4 linked regions of the Anolis sagrei genome follow. The protein of the gene in region 1 purifies or fractionates together with the protein of each later gene. This does not show direct contact. Links are inferred from orthologs where the notes say so. Each region holds a gene or a part of one and is shown in the gene's direction. Other genes may lie near its edges. The genes, in order: AGO2, DHX9, TARBP2 and GEMIN4.

Region 1 (7,295 bases):
GACAGATGGCCATCCAGCCTCTGCTTAAAAGCCTCCAAAGAAGGAGCCTCCACCACACTTTCAATTAAAAACCTTATAAGGCAACTTAAAACGTACCAATATACAAAATAAAACAGTATTATCATTATATATTATTGTATATTATCAGTGGTATAATAACTAATATATTAATTAGTGGTATATTAATATTATACCAATTATAATTAATATTCTTATGTATTATTATAATTAATATATTTCTATTATATTGTATAATTATATTGTGAAGATTGTATACATTACAATATTATTTATAATATATGTCTATACAATACAATACAACCAGAGATATGTAGTCACCTACGGATGTGAGAGCTGGACCTTAGGGAAGGCTGAGCGAAGGAACATAGATGCTTTTGAGCTGTGGTGTTGGAGGAAAGTGCTGAGAGTGCCTTGGACTGCGAGAAGATCCAACCAGTCCATCCTCCAGGAAATAAAGCCCGACTGCTCATTGGAGGGAAGGATACCAGAGACAAAGTTGAAGTCCTTTGGCCACATCATGAGGAGACAGCAAAGCCTAGAGAAGACAATGATGCTGGGGAAAGTGGAAGGCAAAAGGAAGAGGGGCCGACCAAGGGCAAGATGGATGGATGGCATCCTTGAAGTGACTGGACTGACCTTGAGGGAGCTGGGGGTGGTAACGGCCGACAGGGAGCTCTGGCGTGGGCTGATCCATGAGGTCACGAAGAGTCGGAGACGAATGAACGAATGAACAACAAAATACAATACAATATTAGTGTTATATATATTATTATATAGTATAATATTGTCTTACTATTAATATAAGTTTATACAGTATATTAGCATAGCACAATATTAGTATTATACTATACGTAGTATATTATACTATATATACGGTGGCGCAGTGGGTTAAAGACCAGGAGGTCTCTTCCAACTCTTTGATTCTATGTAAACCCCACTTGCCTAGTTTCCAATAAATCTCGCAAACTCTGAGGATGCCTGCCCTAGATGCTGGCGAAACGTCAGGAGAAAATGCTTCTGTAACATGGCCATACAGCCCAAAAAACTTACAGCAACCCAGTGAATCTGGCCATGAAAGCCTTCGATAAGACAATAGAATCAAAGAGTTGGCAGAGACCTCATGGGCCATCCAGTTCAACCCCATTCTGCCAAGAAGCAGGAATATTGCATTCAAATCACCCCTGACAGATGGCCATCCAGCCTCTGTTTAAAAGCTTCCAAAGAAGGAGCCTCCACCACACTCCGGGGCAGAGAATTCCACTGCTGAACGGCTCTAATAATAATAATTGTGCAGAAGCCATTGTTATTATGTTTGTGTTTAACTGTTAGAGTATGTATTTTTGTTTGTAACAGTAGCTAAAACTGGAGTCATCTGGTTTGAATCCACAGTGAGCGTTGCCAAGGAGACGAGGCTGGCTAGCTCATGAGAGGGAGAAGTGAGCGGAGCCAAGCAGGAAACGTTATGTGCGTTTTTAAAAAAGGCCAGAGAGTGAGGCTTGGAAAGGCCTGAGAGAGAGGCTTGTGTGTGAGCGGCTGGTGTTTTTTCAGTCTAGGAGGGCTGAAGAAACCTGGCCAGATTCTTTAGTCAAAGAAGACAAACGGAAGCCTAGTTAAGATCCCTAGTTAAGGAAGGACTAGAGATCAGAGATTTGATCGAGGGAAGATCAAATTGAAAGGCTATTTGTAGTAGTGAAACATTGTTCACTAGAGAGCTTCACTTCAGTGAAAGTTAGCCACAAGCTGTGTTATTTATTTATTTATTTATTTATTTACTGTGCTTATATACCGCTGTTCTCAGCCCGGGGGCGACTCACAGCGGTGTACAACATAGAGAGGACAGGGTGCAAATTACAAGACACAATCTAAAATCAATCTAGCAATAACAAAAAACATCGTCATCAACAACATCAACAATATCAATAATACAAAAAGCCATTTGCGTCGTCTCATCGTTAAACCACAATCCAGTATCATTTTCCGTTGTTCCATTCCTGTCGTCATTACCAATTATTGCACTTCTTGTTCGAACGCCTTCTTGAACAGGCAGGTCTTTAGTTTCCTGTGGAATATCATCAGGGAAGGAGCCAGTCTGATGTCCATGGGAAGGGTGTTCCACAGCCGAGGAGCCACCACCAAGAAGGCCCTGTCTCTTGTCCCCGCCAGGTGTGCCTGTGAGGCAGGCGGGATCGAGAGCAGGGCCTCCCCGGACGATCTCAAAGTCCCCGTGGGCTCGTAGGCCAAGATGCGGTCATATAAGTATCTTGGGCTGGAACCGTTTATCTGGAAGAGTGGACTGTATTATAAACCACATGATGTTCAAAGTTCCATAAGTTATTTAACAGCCTGCAACTATAAGCTTTGTACACAATAAAGTTGTTATCTTTGTTGAAAACCGTCTCATCTCAACTAATCTGCGTCTGTAGAGCCAGATCTCATCGGTGGTACCTCAAACTGTTGGTGGCCGTTACCTTAATTTACAAATAATAATTGGCCTCCTCCATAATATTCTCTTCTACACCATTGAGGCCTGAGGTAAATTCCCTCCATAACACCCACATCTGTACAGTTGGTGGCAGCGGTGAGATTAAAAAGTGCCTGAGGTAAAATACTTCCATTATTAGGACCTCAGCAACACACAAGCACCTCCTCGCAACTGGTGATAGCGGTGGGGATCTTCAAAGCTAAAATCCCTATACCCTGTCCATTGTTGAGTTCACATCTTCCCAATAATAATAATGAGTCTTGTTTTCTATTTGTTTCGTGTGAGCGAAAAGCAGGCCCACTTGAGGGTGGCTCCGAGGCGGGAAACCCTGAGGAGGGTTGTTTGAGGGAAGAGAAGGCCGCATCTCTGAGGGCGAGGCCTGGTGGAAGTCCTGAGGCAAGAGCGGCCTCCCTCCCTCCTTCCTTTCTATGACTATATATATATTTATTATTTATTTATTTATTAATGCACTTGTATACCGCTAATATCTCAGCCTAAATCGGCGACTCATTGCGGTTTACAACATTTAAAAAACAATATTCAGTTAAAAGCATAAAACACATATACAGTACAAATTATTGGGCCACCAATAACAATCCTATGCATCTCATAACTGGAATCGTAATCCAAAATTCATCGTCCGTGTATAACCAATCCTTAGTCATCACAATTCGTTACAACGGATTAACCGAATGCTTGTTTAAACATCCATGTCTTCAATCTTTTCCGAAACACCATCAGCGAAGGGGCTGATCGTACCTCTATGGGGAGGGTGTTCCAAAGCCGGGGGGCCACCACAGAAAAGGCCCTATCTCTCGTCCCCGCCAGCCGAGCTTGAGAAGCAGGCGGGATCGAGAGCAGGGTCTCCCCGGAAGATCTCAAACTCCTGGTGGGTTCATAGGCAGAGATGCAGTCAGATAGGTAGCTTGGGCCGGAACCGTTTAGGGCTTTAAAGGCCAACGCCAGCACTTTGAATTCAGCCCGGTAGCAGATCGGTAGCCAGTGGAGTTGGCGCAACAGGGGGGTTGTATATATATAATCATAATAATAATACTACAGTGTGTGTGTATATATATATATATAGTAAGCCGCTCTGAGTCCCCTTCGGGGTGAACAATAATAATAATAATAAAAAATTATTCGGGGTGAATAATAATAAATAATAAATAAGGGGACTCAGAGCGGCTTATATATATACATAGTGTGTGTGTGTATATATATATATAACGATAATACAGTATATGAACTTGGATGTGTCTATGGACAACGCCAGCTTTTTGGCTTTGAAATGGAGATGTGTCTGACTCGGGGTTGGTGCTCATCTCAATTTCAAAGCCGAAAAGCCGGCGTTGTCCACAGACACATCCAAGTTCATGTGGCCTGCATGACTGCCTGGAGCCCTGTTACCTGCAACCAGCCAGGTATTGAAGCTGCAAGGCTATTCAATGTGAGTCAAGGAAGCCAACTGAAACACTCACACTTGCCCCAAACAGACAAAATAATGCTTTCTTCCACCCTGGACCTCAATCCACAGATTCCAGCCATGAAAGCCTTCGACCAGACAATAATAATAATAATAATAATAATAATAATAATAATGAGTCTTGTTTGTATTTGTTTCGTGTGAGGGGAAAGCAGGCCCACTTGAGGGCGGCTCCGAGGCGGGAAACCCTGAGGAGGCTTCTTTGAGGGAAGAGGAGGCCGCATCTCTGAGGGCGAGGCCTAGTGGAAGGCCTGAGGCGAGAGCGGCCTCCCTCCCTCCTTGCGTGGCTCCTCCTCCTCCCGCTTCCCTCCGCCTCTTCCCTCCGCCTCCTCCGTCTCTCTGGGCCTGAGGCCGCCTGGCCCGGGGACTCCTTCCCTCCTCGGTCGGGGAGAGAAGCAGAACGACGACGAGGAGGAGGAGGCGGCCCAGGAGGAGGCGGCGGGTTCCCACCGTCCCTCAAGAAGGAGAAGGAGAAGCAGAAGCAGCAGCCGAGTCTCCACTCCGCCATGTATTCCGCGGGGGGCTCTTCCCCCGTCGCGGGAGCCGCCGGGCCCGGTGAGAAGCAACTTTGTGGAGCCTTATTTACAGATTTGGGGAAACGAGGCCTAGTGGGGAGCACGAGGCGCCGCTAACAGTAGGAGGGAGAGCGGGGGGGGGGGAGGGGGGAGTTTCTGAAGCTCAGCACGCGCCTATGCTTTTGCCTGCCCGCCCGCCTTGCTGCCCTTACCCTTTTGGGCCTCTGCGCTCGCCGTCGTTTTTGGCCGCCTTCTCTCTCTCTCTCTCATTTGAAGCCTGCCTCCCCTGAAATGGCCCCACATCAGGGCCCCTGCGGAAGAGGCTGCTTTCCCACCATTATTGGCACCCACAAAGGCCACAGGAGGGTATTGAGAATCATGGGTATCATCTACAGCAGGCCTGGGCCAACTTGGGCCCTTCAGGTGTTTTGGACTACAACTCCCACCATCCCTAACAGCCATGCAGGCGAAACGTCAGGAGAGAATGCCTCTAGAACATGGTAGGCTGTTAGGGATGGTGGGAGTTGTAGTCCAAAACACCTGAAGGGCCCAAGTTGGCCCAGGCCTGCCACAATCCACAACTACGTAATCCTAACCTAATTATTATAATTATAAAATAATACTATGTTATATATAATAATACTTTATGGTATACTGTATTATTATTATTATTATTATTATTATAGTGGATAATAATAACAACCGAATTATTATTATAAAATAATACTTTATTATATATAATAATACTTTATGGTATACTGTATTATTATTATTATTGTGGATAATAATAACAACCTAATTATTGTTATAAAATAATACTTAATTATATATAATAATACTTTATGGTATACTGTATTATTATTATTATTATTGTGGATAATAACAACCTAATTATTATTCTAAAATAATACTATATTATATATTATAATACTTTACAGTATACTGTATTATTATTATTATTATTATTATTATTATTGTGGATAATAATAACAACCTAATTATTATAAAATAATACTATATTATATATAGTAATACTTTATGGTATACTTTATTATTATTATTATTGTGGATAATAATGACCTAATTATAAAGTAATACTATATTATATATAATAATACGTTATGGTATACTGTATTATTATTATTATTATTATTATTGTGGATAATAATAACAACCTAATTATTATTATAAAATAATACTTTATTATATATAATAATACTTTATGGTATATTGTATTATTATTATTGTGGACAATTTCAACAGAAAAGAGGAGACCATGGAAATGAACAAAATCTGGCTACCGGTATTATAAAAAAACTCTAAAATTACAACAGCAGAGAGGAAACAACCAGGCACATCTTAACACCTCTCAACAAAAGATTCTCCCAGGCTCAGCCAGGCCTTCAAATGCTAATGAAGGTGGTCAGTTGAAACATTCACACCTAGCTCCAGCAGAGAAGAGCTGTTTGCCCCATCCCGGCCATTCCACAGATATATAAACCCATTCTCCTAACTCCAACAGACCTCACTACCTCTGAGGATGCTTGCCATAGATGCAGGCAAAACGTCAGGAGGGAATGCCTCTAGAACATGGTAGGCTGTTAGGGATGGTGGGAGTTGTAGTCCAAAACACCTGAAGGGCCCAAGTTGGCCCAGACCTGCCATAATCCACAACTACGTAATCCTAACCTAATTAGTATTATTATAAAATAATACTATGTTATATATAATAATACTTTACGGTATACTGTATTATTATTGTTATTGTGGATAATAATAACAACCTAATTATTATTATAAAATAATACTTTATTATATATAATAATACTTTAGGGTATACTGTATTATTATTATTATTATTATTATTATTATTATTGTGGAGAATAATAACAACCTAATTATTATTATAAAATAATACTATATTATATATAATAATACTTTATGGTATACATTATTATTATTATTATTATTATTATTGTGGATAATAATAACAGCCTAATTATTATAATAAAATAATACTATATTATATATAATAATACTTTATGGTATACATTATTATTATTATTATTGTGGATAATAATAACCTAATTATTATTATAAAATAATACCTTATTATATATAATAATACTTTATGGTATATTGTATTATTATTATTGTGGACAATTTCAACAGAAAAGAGGAGACCATGGAAATGAACAAAATCTGGCTACCGGTATTAAAAAAAAACTCTAAAATTACAACAGCACAACAGCAGAGAGGAAACAACCAGGCACATCTTAACACCTCTCAACAAAAGATTCTCCCAGGCTCAGCCAGGCCTTCAAATTCCAATGAAGGTGGTCAGTTGAAACATTCACACCTACCTCCAGCAGAGAAGAGCTCTTTGCCCCACCCCGGCCATTCCACAGATATATAAACCCTTTTTCCTAACTCCAACAGACCTAATGTAATGCAATATAATACTACTACTAATAATATGATATTATAATTATATATTTATATTACATGTAATATTACTTATAATATTACAGTCTAATTGATATAGTGCAATATAGCAATGTTTAAAACTGATGTTGTACTAGTTAATAATATATTGTACGTATATATACCTTTTAAGCCGCTCTGAGTCCCCTTCGGGGTGAGAAGGGCGGCATATAAATGCCGTAAACAAACAAACAAATAAATAAATAAATCCCAGCAACTACAACTCCCAAATGTCAAGATTTTAGTTTCCCCAAACTCCACCAGTGTTCACATTTGGGCATATTGAGTATTCGTGTAGAGCAGTGTTTCT
Region 2 (8,020 bases), about 110 Mb from region 1:
ATTCTAGGAGTTGCATGTGATGTCTGTAGATAATCCACGTCCCGGAGGCGTATAACAGAGTTGGGAGGACAATAGCTTTATAGACAAGCACCTTGGTATCCCTACGGATGTCCTGGTCCTCAAACACTCTGCTTTATTTGGAAAAAAGCTGCACTAGCAGAACTCAGGCGGTGTTGTATTTCAGTGTCAATGTTGACGTTTGTGGAGAGGTGGCTGCCAAGGTAGCGGAAATGATCAACATTTTCTAATGTTATAATATAATAATAATAATAATAATAATAATAACTTTATTTTTATACCCCGCCAACCATCTCCCCTAGGGGACTCGGTGTGGCTTACAAGGGACACCCCCAAGATTACAATTAAAACACACATGTAAAACACTTTAACCAATTAAAACATCAGATAAAACAACAACACAATTGAAAGCAATATAATGTTACACCATTAAGCTGTATTTCTGGCATTGGAGAGGGATTGGCTGGTGACTGCTGGAAGAGCACTTTGGTTTTCTCGATGTTCAATGACAAGACGAGCTTCTTGTATGCTTCTGCGTAGGTGTTAGAGTGGCTTGTAGGTCTTCTTCTGAATGTGCACAGATGATGTTGTCATCAGTATATTGAAGTTCTATAGCAGATGTTGTTGTAACCTTGGTTTTAGCTTTCAGTCTGCTGAGGTTAAATAGCTTACCATCTCTGAGGATGCTTGCCATAGATGCAGGCGAAACGTCAGGAGAAAATGCCTCTAGAACATGGCCATATAGCCCGAAAAAACCCACAAGAACCTGTAGCTTACCATCTGTCCGATAGATGATTTCTACTCAGGTGGGAAGCTTTCCGTCAACAAGAAGAAGTATTATAGCATTGAAAATGGAAAATAAGGTTGGGGCAATAACACATCCCTGTTTGACACCTGATTCTACCTTAAATGGGTCACTTTGGGAGCCATTGCTATCCAAGACTGTTGCCATCATGTCATCATGGAGGAGGCTTCTCTCATGTTATCATCATCATCATTTAATTACTTATTAATCGCCCTCCATCCAAGAATGCTCTGGGCGATTTACAGCTAAATTGTAAAAGATAAAATACATACAAAAATTAAAAATTAACAGGGATCGAATGCTCTAGTAAAAAGCCAGGTCTTAAGTGCTTGAGTAAAAGGCCCTAAGTCATACATGGCTCTCATGTAGGGCGGCAAGGATGTATGTCCCAGCATGGGGAGCTGGAGCTGACAGAGGGAGCTCATCCACCTCTCCCCGGATTCGAACCTGCGACCTGCTGGCACAGGGGTTTAATCCACTGAGCCAAAAACATCAAATCATCTGGGCGTCCCCTGGGCAACGTCCTTGCAGACGGCCAATTCTCTCAAACCAGAATCGACTTGCAGTTTCTCAAGTCGCTCCTGACACGGAAAAAAAAAACCATGGAGGAGCCACAGGATGTTCACAAATTTGTTAGGGCACCGGATTTTTTGGAGGATGGTCGAGATAGCACTGCAATTCACTGTGTCGAATGCCTTTGCCTACATTTTTTCCTTCCAATCCTCATTGGAAAGTTACTCAAAGTATGGTATCTAATCTATATAAATAAAAATGTAATGTTCGTTTGTGGGATTAACAGTACTCAAAAACCACTGGACGAATCGACACCAACTTTGGACACAAGACACCGAACAATCCAATGTATGTCCTTCACTAAAAAAAATTGATTTTGTCATTTGGGAGTTGTAGTTGCTGGGATTTATAGTTCGCCTACAATCAAAGAGCATTCTGAACTCCACCAACTCTGGAATTGAACCAAACTTAGCACACAGTTCTCCCATGACCAACAGAAGGGTTTGGTGGGCAGTGTCCTTTGGTTTTGGAGTTGTAGTTCACCTACATCCAGAGATCACTGTGGACTCAAACAATGATGGATCAGGACCAAACTCTACACGAATACTCAATATGCCCAAATGTGAACACTGGTGGAGTTTGGGGAAAATAGAATCTTTTTTTTTTTTAAGATGTTTTTTTTTATTTTTTTTAAGGTTTTTTTTTAATTTTGTTATTACTATTGTATAATACATAGAAACATTCCATCTTTGAAAATAACATTCAAAATTACTATTGTATAATACATAGAAACATTCCATCTTTGAAAATAACATTCATAATACCAGTTTTTTCCCCAATCCCGCCACCAGCACACCCCCCCCCCCCCCGGAACAAATAGATACTTTAGCTGTGTTTATTACAATTGTTCAATCATGAGAATAGTTTTGTTCAACACCGTATATTTATCTTTCCCCTTTATTCTATATATGAGACCCTTCCATTTTGCTTTCCATGTCTTTTTGCTTTGACCCGTCATATAGTAACTTTTCCTTTCGCTAATATCATCTTGAAGAAGGTAATCTGCTAAATATTTGTACCAGGTTTTTGTATCCCATTTCTTGTGGTCTTTCCAGCCCAGGGCCACTGAGGCTTTAATTCCCTCTATCATATGTTTTATTATTTCCTCACTTTCCTTATATTCCTCTTTATTTTCGAATTTCTGAGTGAAAAATTGGGCCTTATTCCATTCTATCTTGATCCCTAATAGCTCCTCCATTTCTTTCCTGATTATTTCTTGGAACTTTTGGATTTTTTCACATTCCCACCACATGTGGGCATATGTTCCTATTTTACCACAGTTGTGCCAACATAATTTTGGGCATGTTTTTGTGATATGCGCCAGTTGCACAGGAGTTCTGTACCATTTTGTCAATATTTTTCGTTGCATTTCTTTAATCTTTAGGTGTTTTATTTTATTGATTGAATTAATCCAATTGTCTATTTCTCTCTCACTGCAATTTAATTCCTCCTTCCAGACTTCCATTAGGGTAGATTTTGTGTTGTATTGTATTTCGGTGATTGTGTTATATATAAATCCCATGATTCCTTTCTCCCTCTCTACTTTCCATTTTATTATTTTGTCGAGATTTGTTTCTGAGGTTTCCTTATTCTTCAATTCTATTAGCTTTTTAGACAGCCCTCCCCATTGTAACCAATTTCCATGCCCGCATTTATCTTTTATTTCCTCCCATTGAATTACAGTCCCGTCTGGTTTTAGTAAGTCCTCAATCTTTGTTATTCCGTTTTGTTCCAGTTTCTTTAGCATGTTGCGATATAGCTGGGGTTTTCTGTTGTCTAAGGAACCTATTGGGAGCTTGTCTATTTTATTTACTGGGAGTTTATTTTGCCATTTTGGGAAAATAGAATCTTGACATTTGGGAGTTGTAGTTGTTGTAGCTCACCTACAATCACAGAGCGTTCTGAACCCCCCAATGATACAATTGGACCAAACCTCCCACACAGAACACCCATGTGGGCCACAGCAACGTGTGGCAGAAGATGGCTAGTAAACTCTAAAAATATACAGAACTGTTAAGTGTTATGGCACTAGGTTCTTGTGGGTTTTTTCGGGCTATAGGGCCATGTTCCAGAGGCACTTCTCCTGACGTTTCGCCTGCATCTATGGCAAGCATCCTCAGAGGTAGTGAGGTCTGTTGGAAATAGGAAAGTGGGTTAATATATCTGTGGAATGGCTGGGGTGGGGCAAGGAGCTCTTCCCTGCTGGAGCTAGGTGTGAATGTTTCAACTGACCACCTTCATTAGCATTTGAAGGCCTGGCTGAGCCTGGAAAAATCTTTTGTTGAGAGGTGTTAAGATGTGCCTGATTGTTTACTCTCTGTTGTTTTGCTGTTGTAATTTTTGAGTTTTTTAATACTGGTAGCCAGATTTTGTTCATTTTCATGGTTTCTTCCTTGCTGTTGAAATTGTCCACATGCTTGTGGATTTCAATGGCTTCTCTGTGTACCCTGACATGGTGGTTGTGAGAGTGGTCCAGCATTTCTGTGTTCTGTGTTCTCAAATAAAATGCTGTGTCCAGGTTGGATACTGTTGGTTCATCAGGTGCTCTGCTATGGCTGATTTCTCTGGTTGAAGTAGTCTGCAGTGCCTTTGCTGGGATTTATAGTTCACCTACAGTTAAAGAGCATTCTGAACACCATCAGCTATGGAATTGAGCCAAACTTGGCACACAGTTCTCCCATGACGAACAGAAGGGTTTAGTGGGCAGTGTCCTTTGGTTTTGGAGTTGTAGTTCACCTACATCCAGAGATCATTGTGGACTCAAACAATGATTGATCAGGACCAAACTCTACACGAATACTCAATATGCCCAAATGTGAACACTGGTGGAGTTTGGGGGAAATAGAATGTTGAGATTTGGGAGTTGTAGTTGTTGGGATTTATAGTTCACCTACAATCAAAGAGCATTCTGAACTCCACCAACTATGGAATTGAACCAAACTTGGCACACAGTTCTCCCATGACCAACAGAAGGGTTTGGTGGGCAGTGTCCTTTGGTTTTGGAGTTGTAGTTCACTTACATCCAGAGATCACTGTGGACTCAAACAATGGTGGATCAGGACCAAACTCTACACGAATACTCAATATTCCCAAATGTGAACACTGGTGGAGTTTGGGGAAAATAGAATCTTGACATTTGGGAGTTGTAGTTGCTGAGATTTATAGTTCATCTACAATCACAGAATATTCTGAACCCCACCAATGATAGAATTGGGCCAAACCTCCCACATAGAACCCCCATATGGGCCACAGCTACGCGTCGCAGGGGATGGCTAGTAAACACTAAAAATGTACAGAACTGTTAAGTGTTATGGCACTTTTCTGGCTATTGTTCGTGCTACAGGAGACTAACAGTAGGATGGCCACTGTGGAAACAAGACAGGACTTAACAGAGGCTGGATGGCCATCTGTCAGGCGTGATTTGAATGCAATATTTCTGCTTCTTGGCAGGGGGTTGGGCTGGATGGCCCATGAGGTCTCTTCCAACTCTTTGATTCTATGATTCTACATCTCTGAGTGGTTGTGCAGAAGAGACCAGTGTAGTTCCACCTCCGTCCACCCGGGGCGCGCTTTCCTCCCTGAGTGCAGACACGCCTTCCTAGGCGCAGTGAGGTGTACGCATGCGCGAAGCGGTTGCCGCCATCTTGCCACTCTGTGAGAGCTGGCGTCGGCAAGAAGAGAGCTGCTCGAGGTGGAAGGCTGCGGAGCTGGCTTGCGCTTGAAGCAAAGCTCTCCCCAGCAGGACTAGGTGGCGGGCGTGCCTCTGGTGTGTTGATATTTGGGGTGCAGAGCCTTAGCAGGAGGGAGGGAACGAGGGGCGCAGGGGAATGAAAAGGCCGGGGAGAATGTGCGCATGCGCCAGAGTGCGGCCCGCCTTAGCTAGTGCGCATGCGCGTGAAACTAGGGAGCCGGTAAAGGGACTATGGCAAAAACACGCAGGCGCAGAAGTTGAGGGAGGCTGGAGCTGTGCATGCTGGGTTTTTATACGCCGGCCTCAGGTTTCCTCAGAGGGTGGATTTCCCTAACTGTGACCCCTTCCACACAGCTGTAGAAAATCCATATTGAACTTGAATATATGGTCGTATGGACTAATAACCCTGTGCAAAGCCGACATTGTGGATTATTCTGGATTATATGGCTGTGTGGAAAGGCCCTGAGGACTAATAAACCTAAAATGATCAAGGGTCTGGAGAACAAACCCTATGAGGAGCGGCTTAAGGAGCTGGGCATGTTTAGCCTAAAGAAGAGAAGGCTGAGAGGAAGGCCCCACGACTCTGGAACTCTCTCCCTGTGGAGGCCAGAACCGCCCCATCCATCCTAACATTAGGAAACGGGTGAAGACGTGGCTGTGGAGTCAGGCCTTCGAGGAAAGAGACAACACCATAGGACTCTGGATGGAAGTGGATATAGATCCATCTTATTAGGACGACTGACCACTGTAGTTTTATATTTAGTGTTTCTAAAGTTGTTTTGTAATTTGTGATATATGATATTTTAATGAATGTATATGTTTTTATGGCTGTAAACAGGGCTGAGTCCTTCAACGAGGTTGAGAAGCTTGGTATACAAAACTGAAATAAATAAATAAATATGATAGCCATGTATAAATATGTGAGAGGAAGCCACAGGGAGGAGGGAGCAAGCTTGTTTTCTGCTTCCCTGGAGACTAGGACGCAAAGCAATGGCTTCAAACTACAAGAAAGGAGATTCCATCTGAACATGAGGAAGAACTTCCTGACTGTGAGAGCTGTTCATCAGTGGAACTCTCTGCCCCGAAGTGTGGTGGAGGCTCCTTCTTTGGAAGCTTTTAAACAGAGGCTGGATGGCCATCTGTCAGGGGTGCTCCTTAAGCCGCTCCTCATAGGGCTTGTTCTCCAGACCCTTGATCATTTTAGTCACCCTCCTCTGGACACATTCCAGCTTGTCAATATCTCCCTTGAATTGTGGTGCCCAGAATTGGACAAAATATTGCAGGTGTGGTCTAACCAAAGCAGAATAGAAGGGTAGCATTACTTCCCTGGACCTAGTCATTATGCTATTGATGCAGGCCAAAATCCCATTGGCTTTCTGTGCCACCACATCACATTGTTGGCTCATGTTTAATTTGGTAGCGGGGTACAAATAAAGGTTTATTATTATTATTATTATTATTATTATTATTATGTGTGGAAAGGCCTTGAGGATTAATAACCCAGTTCAAAGCCGATATTGTGGATTTTTCTGGATTATATGGCTGTGTGGAAAGGCCCTGGATGCTTTTCTTGTTTGCTCTGTCAGGACAGAAAAACCAAGTCACAAAGGCCCCTTCCACACAACTGAATAAAATCCCATATTTTGTGCTTTGAACTGGATTATATGGCAGTGTAGAACCCAGTTCAAAGCAGATATTGTGGGATTTTCTGCCTTGATATTCTGGCTTATATGGCTGTGTGGAGACACTGCGTGACAAGAAGTCCCCTCATAGGACACATTTGGAGGGGGCCCTTCTACACTGCCATATAATCCAGAATATTTATTTATTTGCAACATTTATATGTTGCCCTTCTCACCCCGAAGGGGACTCAGAATGGCTTACAAGTAAAAAGTAAATACAATATATTATATTGCTATCATAGCACAATATTAATATTATATATTACATTGCACGGTAACATTATCCTGTAATATTATTAGTAATATTACATTTAATATAAAATATATAATCCACATTATCTGCTTTGAACTGGATTATCTTGAGTCTACATTGCCATATAATCCAGTTCAAAGATAATCAGAATTTTATACAGATGTGTAGAAGGGGCCTGGGAGGGAAACAGTGATACTTGGTTTTACTGTATTGATGTGAGGCTTCCTGTTTTGCATTTAGAGAAGAGCAAAGTATCATTTATCTGGGAATCCTTCTACACTGCCATATAAAATTGAGATTATCTGCTTTGAACTGGGTTATATGGCAGTGTAAAAAAAATGTAATCCAGTTCAAAGCAGTTAACGTGGGTTATATGGTCGTGTAAAAGGGGTATGAGTAGAAGAGACAAGCGTGCCTCCTTTCAGTCGTTTGCTGTTGGCTTTGTATTGGATGGGGAAGGCAATGGAGAAGGCATTTTAATTATAAGCACCTGTGTTTCAGTCCAATAAGTGTGGTTTTTTAATACAAATCTTTTGCTGACTGTTGTATTTGAATCCTAAGGTCCCATCTACACTGCCATATAAAATTCAGATTATCTTCTTTGAACTGGATTATGTGGCAGTATATTCATATAATCCAGTTCAAAGAGAGAATGAGGATTATCTGATTTGAAAATCTGGATTATATGGCAGTGTAGATCCAGCCTAAATTTCCTAGCCATCTAAGGGCCACAATTTCCTCATTTTATATTATATTTCCCAAAGTACACTTCAATCCTAGTTATTCTCTTCTAGCTGTATTTCCAAATATTATACTATAGGGTTATTGCAGACAGAGTATCCCTTCTCTGAAGCCCCTTCCATACAGCTGTATAAATCCACTTTGAACTGAATTATATGGCAGTGTGGACTCAAATAACCCAGTTCGAAGCAGATATTGTGGATTATCTGCATTGATATTCTTGGTTAAATGGCCATGTGGAAGGGCCCTGAAATGCA
Region 3 (7,456 bases), on another chromosome or scaffold:
GTCATTAAACATCGCGAAAACCAAAGTGCTCTTCCAGCAGTCACCAGCCAATCCCTCTCCAATGCCAGAAATACAGCTTAATGGTGTAACATTAGAAAATGTTGACCATTTCCGCTACCTTGGCAGCCACCTCTCCACAAAAATCAACATTGACACTGAAATATCGCCTGAGCTCTGCAAGTGCAGCATTTTTCTGAATGAAGCAGAGAGTGATTGAGAACCAGGACATCCTTAGAGATATAAAAGTGCTTGTTTATAAAGCTATTGTCCTCCCAACCCTGCTATATGCCTGAAAAACGTGGACTGTGTACAGATGTCACATGCAACTCCTGGAACATCAGCATTGCCTCTGAAAAATCCTGCAAATCTCTTGGGAAGACAAGCAGACAAATCCCAGAGAGCAGAAGAAGCAAATACCACCAGCATTGAACAGAGTTGATGGCTCCTATGCCATCAACTCTGCTGGACTGGCCACATTGTCTGAATCCCTGATCACTGTCTCCCAAAGCAGTTATTATACTCCCAGCTCAAGAACAGGAAACATAACATTGGTGGGCAGGAAAAGAAATTTAAAGATGGGCTTAAAGCTAACCTTAAAAACTGTGTTAACTGGGAACTAGGAAGCCCTGGCCCTTGAGCGCTCTAACTGGAGGTCAGCTGTGACCAGCAATGTTGGGGAATTCGAAGAAGCATGAATGGAGGGTGAAAGAGAGAAACATGCCAAGAGGAAGGCATGTAAAGCCAACCCTTATTGGGACGGCCTTCCATCTGGAAATCAATCAAGAATATACCTCTATAGTCACCTACGGATCCACCACTAAGACCCTACATTTGGAAGGCAATCATACTCAGTCACAAGTGACAGCCTATGATGGTGATCCATCAGAGTTAGGCCTCTGTTTTTAGACATCACAGAAGGGGAGGAAATAGCTAGTTATTTTACAGTATATTTAAAATACAAATACTTACTGCCAAATAGAGAGAAATAAGTGTATCATTTTCTACAATTATATTTCAGCTCAAATATCTTTTGAGATGGGAAGAGGGGCTGCATCTTGCTTTGCTTAAGGCAGGGCATCTCAGTCTTAATGTCCTAAGCCAACATGGCACAGTTATATATAGAGTGCAATCCTATTATTCAAAAGTCAGAGCAGTGGAGTTCACAAAGGCCCCATCCACACTGTAATCCAGTTCCTGAATCCAGATTATCTGCTTTGAACTGGATTATATGGCAGTGTGGACTCAGGGCTCTTCCACACAGCCATATAACCCAAAATATCAAGGTAGATAATCCACAATATCTGCTTTGAACTGGGTTATCTGAGTCCACACTGTCATATAACCCAGTTCAATGCAGATGTGGGATTTTATACAGCTGTGTGGAAGGGGCCAAGGTATAAGGCTATAGAATGGCCACATTACATTTTGTTTTATTTGGAGAAAAGATTTAGACTGTAATGAGATGGGATAAGAAGAAGCCCTACTGAATCAATCTGTGGTCTGTCCTCAGTTTCAAGAGCACAGCCTCAACTAGCACTCCAAACGACTTAGGTGTCCACTCAAAAGCCCAGGAAGCAATGCAAGTAGGAGGCCACAATTTCCTACTACAAAGACTTTTATTGTAGGCCACAGCAATAACATCAAAATGCATATAGAAATGCAATCAAAGGTTTTGTCACAGCCTAAAATGGGGTTGCAAGGCCTTTTTATCATTTTCAAAGAAAATTGAAAACACATTCTCATTGGTGTTCAAATATCAATCATTTCATTGGTCTAAACTGGCTAATACAAATTTCATTGGCTCTCTATGACTTTGACAGGCATGAAGACACACATGAGATCTTAACAATGGCACAACTTTAATCTATTGGTCTCCAACTCTGGCTGTCTAAATGAATCAGTCTTACCTGTTCTTCTGTTGCAAGCATAACTCGATTGGGAAACTAGCTAGCCAGTTTTGTCCTGATGTACTGTTATCCTTGAAAAGTAACTTACCCTCTGCAGCAATATTTTTCCAAACCATCTGCAAACAAAGGCCCTCTGCAAAAGCAGGCACATATGGCAGTTCGCAGCTTGGGAGTTCTCCTGGACTCATCACTGAGCCTGGAATCCCAGGTTACAACGGTGGCCAGGGAAGCTTTCGCACAATTAAAACTTGTACGCCAGTTGCACCCGTACCTTGGGAAGTCAGACTTAGTCATGGTGGTCCACACTCTTGTTACATCCAGGATAGACTACTGCAATGCATTCTACATGGGGTTGCCTTTGAAGACTGCTCGGAATGGGACGGCATACAGGGAGCATACAACTCCCATGTTACGCCAGCTCCACTGGCTGCCAGCTTGCTACCAGGCACAATTCAAAGTGCTGGCTTTGGCCTACAAAGCCCTAAATGACCATGGCCCAATGTACCTGTCCGAACACATCTCCCCCTATGAACCATCGCGGAGATTAAGATCCTCTGGGAAGGCCCTGCTCTCCACCATTGTCACAGGCACGATTGGTGGGGACGAGAGAGAGGGCCTTCTCGGTGATGGTCCCCCAGCTATAGAACTCCCTTCCTGGTGAGATCAGATCGGGCCCCTCCCTCCTGTCCTTCAGAAGGATGGTAAAAACTTGGCTGTGGGACCAAGCTTTCGGGACAGGGCAATAAAGCAATAGGAAATTTTACCGGCCAATTAGATTTGGCGCAGATGACCAAGACGATTTTAAATAGTAATAATAATAATAATATTTATTTATTTGATCAGTCATATGACCATTTCAAAATAGAACACAAGTAAAAAAACAAGGCAACAAGGTGATAAGTCTGGTTCTTCTTTCAAGAAATCTGCTCTTTTCTTAATAGCTTTCAGAATAAAAAGGCTTACTCTGATTATGTTGGATCTTTCCTGACCTTCAAGAGGGATGTCAGAATATCATTTCTGTTGGGGGACCTGCAGTTGGATAATATTGGATGTAAATATCTGTCTCGCAGTTCAATGTATGCTGGACAGTCAATTAAGAAATGTTCAATGTCTTCCACTGTTTGTTCTCCCCAGACGCAGAATCTCTGGTTTTAAATAGTGTTTTTTTTAATATTGAAATAAATGTTTTTTTTAATGTTTATGTATGCATATAATGAAATCTTGTCCCGGCATTGCATGTTTGCCATATATATGCTGTGCTCTACCCTGAGTCCCCTTCTGGGTGAGAAGGGCGGAATATAAATGTTTTAAATAAATAAATAAATCAGGACAATATGGGACATTGGAAGCATCCCTGAAAATACCCCTTTAAAACTACGTCTCTCTCATCAGGGTGCATCGAAAGGTCTCCTCGCACTTGAGCATTTATCCACTTTAATCCACTTTAAATACTGCGACTGCCTCCTGCAGAATTCTGGGATTTGTAGTTTAGGGAGTGGGCTTTTAAACTGCTCATCCAGAGAAGCCCTGGGCCTCCCTAAACTGCAAGCCCAATAATTCTGCTTGAAGCAGTCATAGCATTTAAAGTGGACTAAAGTGGACAAATGCTCAAGTGTGTTTTGTTGTTGTTCATTCATTCAGTCATTTATGACTCTTCGTGACCTCATGGACCAGCCCACGCCAGAGCTCCCTGTCGGCCGTCACCACCCTAAGGTTGTTAATGTTTCTTCCAGCAATTTTTACCCCAGCCTTGCATTCGTCAAGCCCTGCACATTGCATGATGTGTTCTGCATGCAAGTTGAATAGGTTGGGTGCGAGTAGACAACCCTGCCGTACGCCTTTCCCAATCTTGAACCAGTCTGTTGTTCCATGGTCACTCAGTTCTGACTGTTGCTACTTGGTCCTTATACAGATTCCTCAGGAGAAAGATAAGGTGATTTGGTATGCCCATACCATCAAGAACGTGCCACAATTTATTATGATCCTCAAGTGTGGGGAGGCCCTAATTCATGCACTTGCACTTCCATGGCTCAGAATTGTCCTTTGAGGCTTCTCTGCCAAAGAGGGCTGGTGCCTCACCAAACTATAACTCCCAGGACTCTATAGCATCCAGCCCTGGCAGTTCCAGTGGTCTCAAACTGCATTTCTTAATCTCCAATTAGGCAACGAATCCTGGCTAATAAATTACAGCAGGCATGGGCAAACTTGGGCCCTCCAGGTGTTTTGGACTTCAACTCCCACAATTCCTAACAGCCTATCGGCTGTTAGGAATTGTGGGAGTTGAAGTCCAAAACACCTGGAGGGCCCAAGTTTGCCCATGCCTGAGTTACACGCTTAGGAGACTACTACTCCCAGCATGCAGCGCGAACGAGTTTCGCGCGTCGACACTGAGAAAAGCCGCTCTCCGCGGCCGAAAGGCCTTGTGGGTGTTGTAGTTCTTCAGCTGATGTGGCTCGAGGGCCGGGAGCCGGGTGCGGACTCCATCTTCCAGGATGCGCCTCGCCGGGCGTGGAGGCGGTGGAGGCGACGCGGGGCCGTGGCTTCCTCTTTCCCGGCCATTGTCAGCCGGGCTGGAGGGCGGCAAGCGTTGTGGTGGCGGCGGCGGGGCAGGAGGAGGGAATGAGCGAGGAGGAGGCGGAGGAGCCTTGCGGGAACGCGAGGAGCGGCGGCGGCGGCGGCAGGTGAAGGACGCGCCGCGCGGGTTTGTTGCCAGGGGACACGCCCCGCCCCTTTGGAACGCCGTTGCTAGGCTACACCCGTGCCCGCGAGGCCCCACTTAGTAACGCGTTGCTAGGAGAGCGGGAAGGCCCCCGTGGGGTCGCCCTCTTTATTTAGGCCTGTTCCCTGCCATTGGTTAGAGAGGTTCAGAGGCAGCCTTCTTCCCATCCCCTAAAATCTGGGAGATGCGGATTCAGGTCCCCACAGAGCACACCCACATGAAATCCCACATTATCTGCTGTGAACTGGAATATATGGCAGTGTGGACTCAGATAAGTTAGGGCCCTTCCACATAGACATATAATCCAGAATATCAAGGCAGAATAACCTACAATATCTGCTTTGAATTGGGTTAGCTGAGTCCACACTCCCATTCAGTCTATGGGCCCTTCCACTAAACCCTATATCAAGGCAGAAAAAAACCCACAATATCTGCTTTGAACTGGGTTATCTGAGTCCACACTGCTATATATTCCAGTTTAAAGCAGAAAATGTGTGGTTTTATTCAGCTGTGTGGAAGGGGCAGATATTGTAAGATTTTCTGCCTTGATATTCTGGGATATATGGGTGTGTGGAAAGGCCTAGGCCCCTCAGATAACCCAGTTCAAAGCAGATATTGCGTAATTTTTTTTGTTGTGTCAGGAGCAACTTGAGAAACTGCAAGTCACTTCTGGTGTAAGAGAATTGGCTGTCTGCAAGGACGTTGCCCAGGGGACGCCTGGATGTTTTGATGTGTTATCATCCTTGTGGGAGGCTTCTCCCATGTCCCCACGTGAGGAGCTGGAGCTGATAGAGGGAACTCATCCGCGCTCTTCCCAGATTCGAACCTGCGACCTGTCGGTCTTCGGTCCTGCCGGCACAGGGGTTTAACCCACTGCGCCACCATGGGCTCCATAATTGTGGATTATCTGCCTTGATATTCTGTGTTATATGGCTGTATGAAGGGGTCCAGAGCCCGGGCAATTCCAGTGAGACCAAACCACATTAATTCTGCTATGTAGATGCATCCCTGGAGCTCAGTGGGACCCCTTCTACACTACCATATAAAATCCAGATCATCTGCTTTCAACTAGATTATATGGTAGTGTAGAAGGGGTCTGGGTGACCTTGGGTTAGTCATTTGTGAGGCTAAAGCAAAGAGGAAAGGAGCCAAAACACATGAAGCAGAAGTCCATTGGCAGGGACCAATGGTGAAAAACATGTTTCACTCATTTATTTATTTATTTTTGTTGTTGTTGTTACATTACAATTATTACATGTGATTTTAATTGGTGTTTTAATGTCATGTTTTTAATGGGTTTGGTTTTAATATTTTTGTATATTTACCAATGTATTAATATATGACATTGAATTGTTGCCTTCGTAAGGCTGCCCTGAGTCCCCTTCGGGGTTGAGAAGGGCAGGCTATAAATGTGGTAAATAAATAAATACATTACAAAGTTGTATTGCAGTCCTCTGTATTTCCTGGAGTTAGGGGCACAGGAGCCCGTGAAAGTGAAAAACCATAAATAAAGAAATTACTATATATTTTTCCTCAAAGGCCCCTTCTACACAGCTGTATAAAATCCACTTCGAACTGGATTATATGGCAATGTGGACTCAGATAACCTAGTTCAAACCAGATATTGTGGGTTATTTGGCTATGTGGAAGGGCCCTATGAGAAGACTTGGACAAATTTGTTTAAATTTAAGAAATTAAAAAAAATTCTAGGGATTTCTAGGTCTTCCAGCATGACTTTACAGTCATCTTTTGCTAAAAGCTGATAATAGAACTTCATAGGAGGATCTAAAGCAGAGGTGTGTTGCAACATGTTAATGTGTTGGCTGCAGTGTGTAGCTGTGTTGCACAAATGTAATGAAAAATCTCTGAGTTTATGCAAAATAAGCAATAAATAATATATTTCAAAAATATAAAGGAAAGTTTTTCATGATATACGTTGTGTCTCCATACATTTCATTATTACAGTGTATATATGTGTCCTTATTTATTGTGCAAGGTTGATGTAACCTCCAGTATGCTAGTAAAACTGGGTCACAAAATGATGCCTGTCTAAAAAGTGTGTCATCAACATGAAATGTTTGGAAAGCTCCTATCTAGACATTCCTAGAGAGACTCTTTCTGGAAATCTTTGGGTGCTCCAGCAGGACTGGAGGGAGTTGATCATGAAGTCAGACTGGAGGACCTAGAGACTCCTAGAGAGAACATTTCAAATCAAATCCATGAAAAATCCACAGAAGTAAATCCACAAAACATGGAGAGGTGACTGTATGATTAAATATATCTAATAGATGATTTTTGCCTCACTCTGTACACAACAGCCATGTACAGTGTCCAGTTCATTTCACCTCTCGTGACTTAAGACGTGGACTTGAAGGGACTTGAAAGCAACCAATCCTCTCTAAAAGAGAGGGGAGGGGTGAAATCCTTTTGCTATGAGTGCAGTGGATTCTATGTGACATAAGAAAGAATACAGGAGGGGAGAGAGTTGTTTTCTGATCTATTAATTTAGTATATACCTCACTTTTCCCTCTGCAACAGATCCAAATTGCTTGGATATGTCTATGCATGTTTACAAAGACACTTGTACATAGTGGGAGTGGGGTTGTGCAACATTTCAAAGTCTGGCATACTTCATCACGGGGCTTAAATAGAACTGCAGTTTGTCAGATAATTTTTCTATCCAATCTATATAAAACTAGGCCCTTTTGCTCACTCATTTTGATGTAAAACACAGAACTTATAGCTCTTTATTGCTGTATTGTACAAAAAAAAATCAACATACCTCTTGAATCAGAACATGGAAAAGTTCCCATTTTTGGATTACAACTCC
Region 4 (7,622 bases), on another chromosome or scaffold:
AGCACAGCGGGTTAAACTTCCAGCTGCAGAAAATCCTGCCGATTGCCAGGCCAACAATTCAAGCCTGGGTTGGGGTGAGCTCCCAAGTGTCAGCCCAGCTTCTGCTCACCTAGCAGTTCAAAAACAGCAATGTGAGTAGATAAATAGGTACCGCTTTGGCGGGGAGGTAATCAAAGGCGCCCATAAGGACATGCTGTCGATTCGTTTGCCGTATATGTGTACTGTAATCCGCCCTGAGTCCCCTCGGGGAGATAGGACTGAATATAAATAAAGTTGTTTATTATTATTATTATTATTATTATTATTATTATTATTATAGGAGGTGTTTGGCATGGAGACTGAATAATAATAAGAATAGTCTTTCTCTTTCCGTAGAGTATGGCAGCCGACAAAAGCCAGGAGTGGTTTGCAAAGCACAACATCCCTAAACCTTCTGCCTGAAAGGAAAAGCCATGTATGGCTGCTTGGAAATACATTCCAGTGGATGCCTTCCGCCTCGAATGCAAGCGCCATCTATTCGGCGTTGGTTCGAAGGCTTCAGAGTCCGGTGCCCTCCGTCTGGTGTTTGCCAAATCAATGTATTGCCTTGGGTTTCATTCTGGGTTTCTTTTCCTCCAAATAAATAATTTCCCGTGAAGAAGAAAATATTATTATTATTATTATTATTATTATTATTATTATTATTATTATTTAATTCTATGTTATATGATAATATATATTACACAAAAACTATTATTATTCTGTCTATATAAATAAAAATGTCATGTTTGTTTGTGGGATTAACAGAACTCCAAAACCACTGGACGAATTCACACAAAATTTTGACAGAATACACCTAACAGTCCAATGAGTGTTGATCACTCCTAAAAATACAAAAACCCTCAGCAGAACGGACTTAAAAACCCCCAAAAATACACCATATATATATATATATATATATATATATATATATATATATACACACACACACACACACACACATACACACACACACACATATATACACACACATATATATACACATACACTCATATACACATGCACACATACATACACAAACTTGTATATGTATATTATTTATATACACACAAGCACACAGAAATATACACACATACATCTCCATATACACATATATACATGCACACACAAATATACACATGCACACACATATACACAATATACACATATAAATGTACACACATATACACACATCTATGCACACACATATATACACCCACACATACCCCCCACATATATATATCTATATCTATCTATACACACACACACATATACACAGATACACAAATATATACACACATATAAACACATATATACAATATACACATCTACGCACACACATATATACACCCACACATACCCCTCCACACACATATCTTATCTGAATTTATCTATCCATCTATCTATCTATATACACACACAAATATACACATATACACAGATACACAAATATATGCACACCTATACACCTCCACACACATATCTATCTGTATTTATCTATCCGTCTATCTATCTATAATATACACACACAAACACGCATATATACACAGATACACAAATATACACACACATATATACACACACACAAAACACATATATACAGACTGGGCCACAGCAACGCATGGCAGGGGACGGCTAGTAATATATAAAGGAGTCTTTCAACTTCCTGGGTAAAAACCCCCTTCCGAATTTGGGGAGCTCTCAAAAAACAGACCGGGACCCCCATTGAAATCCGGGACGCCGAAACAGATTGCAGTTTGCCCGGATTGCACAAGCATCATCCTAGCCTCGTGTACCAGTTGAAAGACAAAACATTGGGGGACCCTCAGGTTGAGAACCACTGGCCTAGATCCATCCTAGCGCCCCACTGGTGGCCCCCGAGACGGGACGATGGGACTCGGGAGTCCCCTGAAGGAACACAGATAGACCAAGACACTCAAGGTTGCCTTCCTTTCTCAAAGAGTGGGGGGGTTTAATGTCCAGGAGCAGGAGAGGTGGGCTTCGCTCCTTGTCCCCCCTGGGCCCTTCCGCCTTCCTTCTGGGGCCAGACTACAAGGCCCATCATGCCCTCACTGGTGGCTCCAAGGGAGGGGCTTGCGCAGGCGGAGGCGGAGGCAGGCGGTGAGCAGGGCCCCCTCTTTGCGCCCCGAGCAGAGCGAGCGCCGGGAGATCAGGAGGGGGCCCGGGCGGAAGGGGCTGTCCCTGCAGGAAGAGGAGGAGGAGGAGGAATTATTAGTATTATAATATATTATATAATAAGTATATTGTCTTAGTATACTGCTATACTGTAATATATTATTATATATTATATAATTAGTATATTGTATTACATTTTAGTATATTATTAGCATAGCACAATATTAGTATTATATGTTTCTATATTAAACTATACCGCTATACTGTAATATATTAATATATTGTTAGTATATTGTATTACATTTTAGTATATTATTAGCATAGAACAATATTAGTATTATATGTTACTATATTAAACTATACTGCTATACTGTAATATATTATTATATATTATTAGTATATTGTATTACATTTTAGTATATTATCTTATTAGCATAGCACAATATTAGTATTATATGTTACTATACTAAACGATACCACTATACTGTAATATATTATTATATATTATTAGTATATTGTATTATATTTTAGTATATTATATTATTAGCATACCACAATATTAGTATTATATGTTACTATACTAAACGATACCACTATACTGTAATATATTATTATATTGTATTATTAGTATATTGTCTTACGTTTTAGTATATTATCTTATTAGCATAGCACAATATTAGTATTCTATGTTACTATATTAAACTACCACTATACTGTAATATATTATTATATTGTATTATTAGTATATTGTCTTACGATTTAGTATATTATCTTATTAGCATAGCACAATATTAGTATTCTATGTTACTATATTAAACTATATATATTCAGTTAGAATTGATAACAGGAGCCCCCATGGTGCAGTGGGTTAAACCCTTGTGCTGACAGGACTGAGGACTGTAATATATTATTATATATTATATAATTAGTATACTGTATTACATTATATTATTAGCATAGCACAATATTAGTGTTATATGTTACTATATTAAACTATACTGCTATGCTGTAATATATTATTGTATTGTATTATTTATTGTATTACATTTTAGTAAATTATATTATTATCATACCACAATATTAGTATTATATGTTACTATATTAAACAATTCCACTGTACTGTAATATTATTAGAAATATTGCATGTAATATATAATATACAATTATTATAGCATTATAGTGTACTATATTATTATGCCACAACATGTAAAATACACTACCAGTATATTATACTGAACATTATTGTCATTCTTCTCATTATGATTGTATTAATATAATTATTATAATAATAGAAGAATCCCTGCTGGGATCGGAATATTTGATAGAATAATAATAATAGTAGTAGTAATAATAATAATAATAATAATATAAAATGATTCCTGCTGAGACTATGAATATTTTTAATAATAATAATAGAAGAATCCCTGCTGGGATCAAGAATATTTGATATAATAATATATATAGAAACAACAATTGATTTAATAATGTAATACAAAATAATAATAATATAACAATTCATATTATAATAATAATGCAATAATATATATTTAATAACAATGGATATAAAATAATAACAATGTAATATAAAATAATAATATAATAATTGGTATTATAATACTGCAATATAAAATAATATATACCAATAATAATAATAGTAGTAGAACAATACCCTATTATATCTTAATATAATAAAATAATTTGTTTTATTATATTATCATCAAATATAATATATATAATTTATAATAGAGTATAATATATTAATATAAGAATACATATATGAGTATAATATTATAAGAGTATAATATAAGTATAATATATGTATAATATATATTATAATATATTAATATAAGAATATATATTAATGTAATATAATTACCAATTATATTATATTAATATAATTAATATAATTATATTAATAATATTATATTATTAATATAATATAATATATATTATAAGAGTATAATATATTAATATAAGAATATATATTAATGTTATATAATTACTAATTATAGTATAATATAATTAATATTATATTATTAATATAATATAAGTATAATATGTATTATAAGAGTATAATATATTAATATAAGAATATATATTCAAACAATATAATTACTAATATTATCATCATATATTATAATATATAATTTATAATATATAAAATATATTAATATAAGAATCTAATAATAACGATAGTAATGATCATAGAGTAGGCCGACCATGCAGTGTAGGCCGGAAGGGGCGTGGCGTTGTCCGGGCGGGGGGCGGTGTCTCGGAGGAGGCGGCAGAGGAAGCTCTTCCGGCGGAACTTGGCTTTGCGGAACCCCGTCTCGGCGCCGGAAGAAGGGCAAGAAGGGGAGCGGGAAGAGGGCGGAAGTGTGGCGTCAGGCGGAGCCGCGCGCTTTCCACTGCAGCCGCCAGGGGACAAAAAGGTCTCTCCCATCCGGGGCTTTTGTGCCGCGCGGGCTGAGCGCACAATGCCCGCCTCTTCCTCCTCCCCTGCCACACTTCCGCTTCCGGCCCGGAAGAGGGGGAAGGAGAGAGGCAGCCATGCAGCTCGGTGGGTGGGAGATGTAGTTCGCCAAGGGCCACAGAAATATTTCATTTTCTATTTATTTTATTTTTGCTTTTCTACTACTTTTTTCATTTTCATGCCCAGTAATTTTATTTTCTATTATTTATGTCCTTTTTTTCCATTCATAGTTTCCTATTTGTATTTAATTTTTTATTTACTATTTTCTACTTATTTTCTTCTACTTACTTTTTTATTATTACTAATTATTTTATTATTATGTTTCCTGTCTCTTGGTTTATTTTCCATTATTTGTTTGTCATTCTGTATTTCCTACTTTTTTCTATTATTTATTATTTTATCAATTTTTGTTTAATTATTTTTTATTTATGTTTTCTAATTTAGGATCAGCTTTTTCTTTTTCTATTTATTATTACTATTATTATTCTTTTATATTTTCTAATTTTCCTTTTCTATTTATTATTATTATATATTTATGTTTTCTATTTTTCTATTTATGATCACTTTTTCCTTTTCTATTTATTATTATTATTCATTTATTCATGTTTTCTAAATTTCTATTTATGATCACTTTTTCCCCTTTCTATTTATTATTATTCATTTATTTATTTATATTTTCTAATTTTCTATTTTTTCTTTTCTATTTATTATTATTATTTATGTTTTCTATTTTTTATTTATGATCACTTTTTTCCTTTATTATTATTCATTGATTTATTTATATTTTCTAATTTTCTATTTTTTCTTTTCTATTTATTATTATTCGTTTATGTTTTCTATTTTTCTATTTATGATCACTTTTTTCCTTTTCTATTTATTATTATTCATTGATTTATATTTTCTAATTTTTCTTTTCTATTTATTATTATTAATTGATTTATATTTTATAATTTTCTATTTTTGTTTTCTATTTATTATTTTTATTATTTATTTATGTTTTCTAATGTTTTATTTATGATGACTTTTTCCCTTTTCTATTTATTATTATTATTATTATTATTATTATGTTTCTATTTTTCTTTCAGGTGTTTTTTTACCCTCCTGAGATTATTTTGGGGAGTTTTTTTTTAAGTGTTTGAACAGATTTTGGAATTTAATTCTATTTTTTGACATTTATAGGTTGTTGGTCACTATTTTTAAATAAAATGTTGTCATCTTCATGGCATTGAGAGTAATGCTGTGAGTCTCAGTCCAGAGATAAATAAATTGGATATGACTACTACTACTACTATTGGGTTTCTGTGAGTTTTCCAGGCTGTCTCCCATAGATGTGGATGAAATGCCAGGAGAGAATGCTTCTGGAACATGGCCAGACAGCCCAAAAAACTCACAGCAACCCAGTGATTCTGGCCATGAAAGCCTTCGACCAAACATCATTATCAGTCTTTGTATTAGCAATAATAATTGTAAGTAATAATATTGAGGAAAGCTGTCAAGAGATTAAAAAGGATATAATAATTCATAAAATAATAATACAGAAACATAAATATGTATTATATATCATGTAGTGTGTGTATATACACATATATACAATTTAGTTTGCCATGATATGAAAGGATTATCATCCACAATTTTCTATATTATATATTTATAAATTTTATGGTATTCATATATATATATATATATGTATATATGTATATATGTTTATATATATATATAAACATAATTTATAAATATATAGTAGACATCTCCGGGCTGAGGGTTGAGTAGCCCATCCTTCCCTTGAACAGAACGGTCTGTCTCTGTCCCAACAGGGCCGCTGACCATCTGCGGAGAAGTGACCGTCCTGCACGGCGGGTTCCTGCTGGCCTCCCAGCTGTGCCACCCCCGGCCGTTGTCCGAGCTGGCCAAGTCCGACTGGCCCGTGGTGGGGAAGCCCATCCTGGAGGCGCTGGAAGAGATCTGCACCTCCCACTCGTCGTACCCGCCGCAGCCGGACGCCTGGAAGAAGAAAGCGGCGGTCATCCTGTGGTCCAAGGTGCTCTTCTCCGAGGCCCCGGCGGTGTCCCTGAACCAGCGGTGGAAGGACGACGCCTTCTTCTCCGTCAGCAGCATGATCCCGGAGGTCAACCGCACGGTGCTCTTTGAGCTCTTCATGGCGGCCAACGCGCCCCGGCTTTTCACCGAACTTCTCCTGGTTCTTCCGGAGCCGCTTTGCCGGCGGGAACTGGAGGCGCTGGTGGCGTACGTGGCCAAGGAGACCTCTCCGCGCGACGTCCGCTTCTACTTAGACGTGTGGTGGGAGATCATGAAGCACAAGGCCGGCCAGGAAGACCGTCTGACCTTGCTCTTCCGCAACGTCTCCCGGCAGTGTCTCCCGGAGCCGGACGACACAGGTCAGGCCCCGAAGCGCTTCAAGAGCGACGCCCCTCCCTCGACGCATCCCCCCCTCGAGACGAACGTCCTTCCCATCTTAACGGAGGGTTTGAAGCTGATCCAGGGGAGCGTCTGCCCGGCGAAGATGAAGTGTTACGCTCTTGCCAACCTCGTGGACCTTGTGTCCATGTCGCTGGCGGCGTGCGACGCGGAGTCAGTGCCCATCAAGACGTACTTGGTGAAGGTCTCTTCAGTGGTGACGCTTTGGTGCAGCGACTGCGACAACCGCTATAGCAAATCGGAGCTGGACGAGAAGGTGAAGGAGGCTGAGCGGAGCGTGAGTTTGCTCAGCGTGGCTCAGACGTCCAAAGCGTTCTTGCTCATAGATTTGGCTTTTCTCCACGCTTTGTTGGAAGAGTGGTCTACGGAGCTTCAGGATTTCCTCAACGATCCGGAACAGGTCTGCTACGAAAGCTACCGGCTCCTCGATTGCTTGGCGTCGTTGCAGAAGCGGCTGGCGAGGTATGCCGAGTCGGGGGGCGACTTGGAGGACGAGACGGCCAAGGCCGTGGCGCGCCTCTCCGAGCTCGTGGCGGACTTCTTGAAGAGCGTCAGCCTC

The links.
Region 2: the proteins of AGO2 (region 1) and DHX9 purify together in Homo sapiens (affinity purification with western blotting; 5 studies listed by BioGRID and IntAct, with this or other methods). This does not show direct contact. The link is inferred for Anolis sagrei from reciprocal best matches to the Homo sapiens genes AGO2 and DHX9.
Region 3: the proteins of AGO2 (region 1) and TARBP2 purify together in Homo sapiens (co-immunoprecipitation; 10 studies listed by BioGRID and IntAct, with this or other methods). This does not show direct contact. The link is inferred for Anolis sagrei from reciprocal best matches to the Homo sapiens genes AGO2 and TARBP2.
Region 4: the proteins of AGO2 (region 1) and GEMIN4 purify together in Homo sapiens (affinity purification with western blotting; 4 studies listed by BioGRID and IntAct, with this or other methods). This does not show direct contact. The link is inferred for Anolis sagrei from reciprocal best matches to the Homo sapiens genes AGO2 and GEMIN4.

Annotation. Positions count from the first base shown.
Region 1 is NC_090024.1:10,974,270-10,981,564, forward strand, and holds the start of AGO2 (protein argonaute-2), read left to right. Parts: upstream 1-4,283; 5' UTR 4,284-4,492; coding exon 4,493-4,541; intron 4,542-7,295.
Region 2 is NC_090024.1:123,122,611-123,130,630, reverse strand, and holds the start of DHX9 (ATP-dependent RNA helicase A), read left to right. Parts: upstream 1-5,013; 5' UTR 5,014-5,162; intron 5,163-8,020. UniProt on the Homo sapiens protein: Multifunctional ATP-dependent nucleic acid helicase that unwinds DNA and RNA in a 3' to 5' direction and that plays important roles in many processes, such as DNA replication, transcriptional activation, post-transcriptional RNA regulation, mRNA translation and RNA-mediated gene silencing.
Region 3 is NC_090022.1:190,334,378-190,341,833, reverse strand, and holds the start of TARBP2 (RISC-loading complex subunit TARBP2), read left to right. Parts: upstream 1-4,443; 5' UTR 4,444-4,526; coding exon 4,527-4,588; intron 4,589-7,456. UniProt on the Homo sapiens protein: Required for formation of the RNA induced silencing complex (RISC). Component of the RISC loading complex (RLC), also known as the micro-RNA (miRNA) loading complex (miRLC), which is composed of DICER1, AGO2 and TARBP2.
Region 4 is NC_090031.1:35,279,651-35,287,272, reverse strand, and holds the start of GEMIN4 (gem-associated protein 4), read left to right. Parts: upstream 1-4,622; 5' UTR 4,623-4,704; coding exon 4,705-4,714; intron 4,715-6,441; coding exon 6,442-7,622. Other genes in the region: GLOD4 (glyoxalase domain-containing protein 4), read left to right, coding at 376-441. UniProt on the Homo sapiens protein: The SMN complex catalyzes the assembly of small nuclear ribonucleoproteins (snRNPs), the building blocks of the spliceosome, and thereby plays an important role in the splicing of cellular pre-mRNAs.